Linked DNA regions of Caenorhabditis elegans. The protein of the gene in region 2 purifies or fractionates together with the protein of the main gene of each other region. This does not show direct contact. Each region holds a gene or a part of one and is shown on either strand. Other genes may lie near its edges.

Region 1 (3,754 bases), 9.5 Mb from region 2:
TGTGGATTGTGGTTTTTTTTTGGTTTTTTTCAACAAAAAAATTGAAAAATGTATTTTTTAAAATTTTATATATATATATATATTCCCTCGAATTTCGTTCACTTTTCATAATTTTTGTATAAAATTACAATTTTTCTTCGAAGAAACATAATTTTTTGATTAAAATTTGCTTCAAAAATTTTTTTTTTTAATTTTTAGGATACAAACTAATTTTTTTCGTGGTCTTGGATTTTCGAGTGAATTTTAAAAAAACAATTTTTACAAAAAAACGAAAAATTTCCGAATTATATGAAATTTTTTGCGAAACTACGTTTTCTTCACAAAATAATCAAGAAAAAAACGATTTTTTTCCAAAAAAACGTTAAAAAAGTAAATTTTTGATAATTTACTTTTTTTCAATTTTTTGGAAAATTATTTTTAAAATAATACGCTTTTGGTTTATATCAGTAATTTTGTTTTTTTCTAGTTTTTTTTCCTCATTTTTTGAAGAAAAAAAATATAAAAAATAATTGTCTTCAGATTTGTTCAAAAAATATTTTGCGAAAATTGCAAATTTTTGGCTTTTTCTATTTTATTTTCACATCAACATAAATTAGAATTTTTTTTGTTCATTTTCTAAAAAAAAATTTTTTTGGATTTTTCGATTTTCAGTGAAAAACTACAAAATAATGAGAAAAATGGGATGAATTTTTGTGATTTTTCTTTCGTTTTTTTTGATTAAAAAATCGAAAAAAAAAATCCAAATTTCGGCATTTTTTTTTTCCAGAAAAATCCAATTTTTTAAAAAATTTTCTCAGAATTTCCATGCAAATCTTCATAGTTGCTCCGTACCACAATAGCAAGCCGAGCTTTTCCCTCCGTATAACAATCTTTGCATCGATTCAACTCAATCGGATCCTCCATTTGCTTAATCGCCTTCTTCACAATATCAAAAGCTTTGTCAGCACGTTCTCGATCATCTGGATTTTTATCCGGATGCACAAGTAGTGAGAGCTTCTTGTATTTCTTCTTAGCCGCCTCGATATCCGTGTCCAAATCGATTTGGAGCACTTCATATGGGTTAAGGTTCAAATATGTGGAACCGGGCTTCAAAAGTCGCTCGATTTGTTGCTCAGAAGTAAGAGCCGCGTCCTGTTGCTCCGTGGATTTTAGCTGGAAAAATTTAAAAATGTTTTTAAAATTTTTAATGGTTTTTTTCAACTTTTTCAAAAAAAAATTGGTTTTTTTTCAAATTTTTCTCTTGAATTTAAAAATTTTTGAGAATTATTTTTGAATTCCCGCGCATTTTCTGGCCATATTTTGTGGTTTTTCTTTGGATTTTTAAAAATTTCAGCCAAGTTTTCTTTAAAAAATAAAAATTTTATTTGGAATTCGCGATTTTGAAGCCAATTTCAAAGTTTTGGCGAAATTTTATTTTTTTTATAGTTTTATAATTGATAGCCAGCTGAAAAAACTCGCTAAAACTTCAAAATTGGCCCTAAAATCGATATTTCCACATAAAATTAATATTTTTTCGCGGAAAACTGTCTGAAAATTCGAAACATTCCAGAAAAACCAAGAAATGTACACTTTTTTCAAATTTTTTGAAAAAAAAAACTTACATCCTGATAAAATGACTCAAACTGGGACATTTTTTGCTGGAAAAAATTTTTTTTTTAAAATTAGATTTTAGGAAAAATATTAAGGAAAAAAATATATAGACAATAGCGACATTCAACGCAAAAAAATCGAAAATCTGAAGAAAAAATAAGGGAAAAAAAACCAAATTTATTAAATTTGAAAAATGTCGACTAGAAATAATCTCAAAAGGGTCATGGATTGAGTACATAAAAACTAATTGCATATTATTTAAACGCGGAAAAATCCGTATTTTAAAACCAAGTTGCAAACGCGCTCCTCTGCTAAAAGTTGGGTCTCGTTAGAAATGGCGGCCAAATCTAAATATTTTTAACAATTTTCGATGATTTTCACCTCGAAACCAACGAAAAATCATTGAAAACTTTTGAAATTACGGTTTTCTCGCCAATACTTAAAGGTGGACTACGCTCAGTGGGGAAATTGCTTTAAAACATGCCCATGGGGCCACAATGACAGAATATCATGATAAAAAAATTCAAAAAAATTTTCTAGATTTTATGATTTTTTGAAAATTGAAAAAATCACAGTTTTCAACCAATTATTTTTGAATTGAAAATGATTAAAACTCTGATATTCTGAGTTCCGACGACAACAAGCCTGAAATTAGTATATTCACAGTTTTACTCATTTTCAATTACTTTTTAACAAACATTTTGCGTTTGTCTTTTTTATTTCTTTCATTTTCCGAGGAAAAAACATAGAAAATGAAGAAAATCAGTCAAATAACGAGAATAAATAAAATTAATTAATAAAAATAATGCAAGCGCGCTCAATCGAACGAATCCGATTGGTGGAAATTCAAAAATAATTAGGTGAAAACTGTTATTTTTCCAATTTTCAAAAAATTATATAAAATCTAGAAAATTTTTTTGAATTTTTATATCATGATATTCGGTCATTGTGGCCCCATAGGCGTGTTTTAAAGCAATTTCTCCACTGAGCGTAGTCCACCTTTAAGGAGACCCAACTATTATCCGTGGAGCGCGCTTGCACCACGATTTCAAAAAAGCACATTTTTCTGCGTTTACATAATAACAATATTTCACATCTCAAATTGCAATCTATCTACATGTGGTTGAATCTCATCAATTGTTGGCTGAAGCCTGAACTGGAGCACCGAGCAAATTGGAAGCTCATAAGCCAAAAGATCGGATTTCGGCTCGCGGAGCTGATCTTCGGCCTGTTCGATGTACGATTTGATCGTAGACTTCTTGTAATCATTCATTTTAAGGGCGACGAGGAGAGCGGCTCCGGCGACACATTTTCGATTGACTTTTGAGATTAGACCCTGGAAAAAAATTGATTTTAGATTTAAATAGATATGAAAATCTCAAAAAAATTGAAATTTAAAAAAAAACCAGCTTTGATAATAATTATAAACTGATTTTAGCTTAAAATCGACTATAAAATATTTTAAAATTTTTAAAATTGCCTACAGTAACCTTAAAGGCGCATACCCTAATTGCTTTACAAATTTCGCGGCGAGACCCATCCTCCTCCAAATGTGGCCTCCCTGTAACCATTTTCAGATTTTTTCTTGAATTTTCCGACAGTTTCTCAAAGTTTAAGCTTTTAAATAATTTTTTAGACGTAATTTATGCTATTTTCTATTTTTCGTTGCATTATGTCGATAATAAACTAAAATTAAAGTTTTTTGGCCTAAAATTCGCTCTAAAAATTTAGATTTTCTCTGGAAAAAAAGATTTTCGATTTAAATCGATTAGAAACTGTTTTAAAAACTTAAAATTGTCTACAGTAACCTTAAAGGCGCATAGCTTAATTGCTCAACGAGATTCGCGGCGAGACCCATCCTCCTCCAAATGTGGCCTCCCTTTAACCATTTTCAGATTTTTTCTTGAATTTTCCGACAGTTTCTCAAAGTTTAAGCTTTTAAATCATTTTTTAGACGTAATTTATGCTATTTTCTATTTTTTGTTGCATTATGTCGATTATAAACTAAGATTAAAGCTTTTTGGGCTAAAAGTCGCTCTAAAAATTTAGATTTTCAATGGAAAAAAAAGATTTTCGATTCAAATCGACTAGAAAATGCATTTAAAAAGTTTGAAAATTGCCTACAGTAACCTTAAAGGCGCATAGCTTAATTGCTAAACGAGAT
Region 2 (3,754 bases):
AGCTTTATTTTTAACTAAGAAAAAAAGGTCAGAAAAAAATTTGTTTGTTTTTTATTTTTTAACCAAAATATTTTTAAAGTTTTTTTCCTTAAAATTTCAAAAACTTTTTTTCAGAAAAAAAAGTCCAAAACGATTTAAAACATTAAAAAAAAATTTTTTTTCGAAAAATTGGAAAAATTTACCTTTTTTGATATTTTAAAATTCGAAAAATTCAACATTGTTTTAATTCTGTAGATGATTTTTTCCTATTTTTGTTTTTCTATTTCTAACTTAAACAAATTAATTTTTCAGGAAAAAAAGAACAAAAAACGAGATTTTTTTTTAATTTGAAATGTTTCTAAAAAATAGGAAAAAAATTAAGTTTTTTTTAGGTTTTTTCAATTTTTTTTTCAGAAAACCGTCTAAAATGAGATTAAGATTTAAAAAAAATTTCAAATTTTTATTTGATATTTCAAAAAATCAAAATTGAACAAAAAATTTGAAATTTTCGACAATTTTTAGAAAATCGAAAAAAATTGTTTTAATTTTCTAGATGGTTTTTTTTTTGTAAATTTATGCGCTTTTTCAGACAATTTTTGCTCAAAAAATAGAAATTTAGCTAAAAATCTACCAGAATGTGCAAAAATAAAGTTTTTAACACAATTTCTAGGTTTTCGGCAATTTTCGTCAATTTTTCGCTAAAAAGCTTCAGATTTCTCTCCAGTACCCCAAAATCTCATCCACATGGCTATCGATCGTATTAATATTGATTTTCCACTCCATTTGCCCCTCATTTTCACTCGACGGCTGCAAATTTGTGAGAATAAATTGGCGCATTGCCAAGTCTGGAATCGCCGATTCAAGATCCTTGAGAATTTCCTTTCGAGTGCGACAAAGATCCACGTTTCGCATGGTTTTGATGAGCTCTCGGAATTCTGGAAAAAGAAAATTGGGGGATTTTTGAAAAAATTAAAAAAAAAATTTTTTTCAGACCTAAATGCCGCCTGGAATATCCCTTGGGTGATACATCCTCCACAATCAATTTTTCGATTCGATCACTCCATTTTGAGTCGATTGCAAGCCTCATGACAATTTTTCCACCCATTGAGTGGCCTGAAATTAAAAAAATATATATAAAAATTTTTTTTTTTAATTTTTCAAAATTTTACCTAATAAATTAACCCTAGTTTTCTTGGTTTCCTCCTTGACTTTATCAATAAATAATACTAAATCCTCTGCCATTTCTGTATAAGACATAGTTTCGGTATGCGGTGAGCTTCCATGATTCCGCACGTCTACCGCATACACTGGAGCCTCTAACTTCTTGTGCAGCGCCTTTCCGACAGAGTTCCAGTTCTGTTTTTGCCCGAATAATCCATGAACAATTACTAAAGGAGAATTTCTATCGAGTTCTGGTGATGAGTAGCTGGCGTATGTCATGGGAACCTGGAAAATATATATTTTTGGTTTTTTGAGAAAAAACTGATTTTAAAACTTACCGGTGCGAATTTTCGGCAAGAAGTGTGAATATTTTTTGCATTTTTTGAATTGGAAATCGTTTTCGCTAAATTTCGGCTTACTAGCATTGTGAAAACCGGTTTTAAAACCTGCTAAAAACAGAAAAAAGTGAACAAAAATAAATAAAAAGTACAGTGCTACGATACTCCGAAATAACGCTAGCGCGCTTTGTTTATCGTAAATCCACAGGGAAAGCAAAGAGAGGGAATTTAAATATAGTTGTTGCAAAATTTTGTCATAAATGATTTTTCCGCTAGAAAACGGTAAAAAATCATATATTTTCATGACGTCACTCTATTCAAATCATAACTTTTCCATATTTTAACCGATATTTTGTTTGTGCGGCCGCCCTTTTCCGAATGATTCATTCCCGGCGGTCTTCAACACATTTTTAATCTCCGCCAGCAACAATTTTATATTATCAATACACGGTGGTTCCGCCGCTGCGCACTACACTCGCCGACGTACACATTCCGCCGAAAAATTGTATATTAATCGAAATTTTTACATGGGAAACTGTGACTTTTCAGGTTACAGAAAACCATTTTCCCAAAGTTTTTTGCGGAACAGGGCAAATAATTTGAAAAATGGCAATAAAAGTTTGGAATTCTGTGCCTTTCCCTGCTTTTTCCCGCAATCGCTTGACGTGTTTTTGCCTGTTGCCAGCCAGCTTTGTCAATAGACACATATATGTATGTATACCGAACAGCTTTTCGCCCCTCCCTACCGGATGCTTCTTTGTTGTCACCGAGATATCGAACACCTGTAAGCTTTTTAGTAAATTTTCAATGATTTTTATTAGAAAAAACCATTAATTTCAGCTTAAATTGCTAAAAATTATAAATATTACGGAGAAACCAGGGTTTGCGAAATTTCTGTAGTTTTTCCCGCGACTTAATAAAACCCAGGAGTTTTTATTGTTATACTTGGGTTTTAATCATAAATTTATCGAAAACAACACAAAAGTCGATAAAAATCTGCATGTACACAATTTCAAAACTACAGTAATCCTCAAAGGCGCACACCTTTTCACATTTAACAAAAATTTGTCGTTTCGAAACTAGGAACCGTATTTTTGTATTTTTCGGCGCAAAAATCGCAACATTTCCAGTATGGGTAATAGAAAACATTTAAATTTTCCAAAAAAAACTTCCGGAAACGTTCGATTTCCGCCCACCCTTTGTTATTCATATTTCCGCGGAGGTATTTGACCTCTGACTGCATAAAGATTTACAACTTCATTCTGTCCTGTACCTTATCTCATTCATCATCAATCTACTCGTCATATTTCCCATCATTTTTGGTGTCTGTCTTTATTTTACGGTCGTTTTAAGAGTTATTTAGAGTAAAAGTTGGAGAAAATTGCCTTGAAATACTTTTTTGGTACTAAAACAAACGAATATCAGTATTAAAACGTTTTTAAAATTTTATAAAACTTATATTTTAAGCTTAAAATTGAATTCCCGCGCATTTGGAAAGCCAAGTGCAATGGAGCGCGTTTGAATTTTAGAATTTTTTTTTCAACTTCTATTGGTTTTTCCTTGATTTTCCGAAATTGCCCAGACAGTTTTTTGTTTGCGTTTTTACTTACGCGACTTCCCATCAGCAGGTTTTCCCCAAAATTTAGAAAAATCGGTAATTTTCCATTTTTTGAATAAAAATTTTGAATTTCCCGCTAAAAATTAGCTGAAAATTCAAAAAAGTCGTGAACTTTTTATTTTTTTTCTAGTTTTTGATTCAAAAATTCTACATTTCTACACCAAAATCATGTATCGAAACATTAAAAAGTGGGCGCTCAAGGGTTTTCGCAAAATTCGAGGTGAATCTTCAATCGCGCTCTATTGATAATGTTCAGAAGAATACAAAAAGGTCGGTAGAGCACAGTATTTTCTTATCAAAAAAGGTGTAAAAAATTCAATTTTCAGCACTTTCACCTTATCAGTAGATCATTTTTGACATTTTCAGCCCTATTTTTAGACACTTCCTCATGCAATAGGTATTACCGATGACACAAACCCTGCGGGGAAACCAGTTTTCGATCGGATTATTTTTGTTTAGTTGTAGGTTTACGGGGGAAAAATCACTGAAAACGCTACGATTTTACTATTGATTTTTTTTGAAAAAATTCGACTTTAAAGAAAAAAAAATTTTTTTGCGATTTTTTTTCAAAAATTCTGAAAAAAAACTGTTTTTTTTTTGATTTTTGGATTTTTCCGGGGTTTCATCGTGTTTTTTTTTCAATATTTTCTTCAAAAAC

Evidence for each region. The genes of interacting proteins can lie anywhere in the genome.
Region 1: the proteins of abhd-11.2 (region 2) and dnj-30 fractionate together in Caenorhabditis elegans (co-fractionation; one large-scale study listed by BioGRID). This does not show direct contact.

Annotation. Positions count from the first base shown.
Region 1 is NC_003279.8:2,719,839-2,723,592, forward strand, and holds the start of dnj-30 (J domain-containing protein), read right to left. Parts: upstream 1,638-3,754; 5' UTR 1,632-1,637; coding exon 1,602-1,631; intron 1,153-1,601; coding exon 832-1,152; intron 1-831. Other genes in the region: Y71F9B.6 (Cyclin N-terminal domain-containing protein), read right to left, coding at 2,681-2,926.
Region 2 is NC_003279.8:12,181,604-12,185,357, forward strand, and holds the start of abhd-11.2 (sn-1-specific diacylglycerol lipase ABHD11), read right to left. Parts: upstream 1,652-3,754; 5' UTR 1,566-1,651; coding exon 1,479-1,565; intron 1,426-1,478; coding exon 1,149-1,425; intron 1,093-1,148; coding exon 973-1,092; intron 915-972; coding exon 707-914; intron 1-706. Other genes in the region: nsph-1.2 (Nematode Specific Peptide family), read left to right, coding at 2,085-2,262.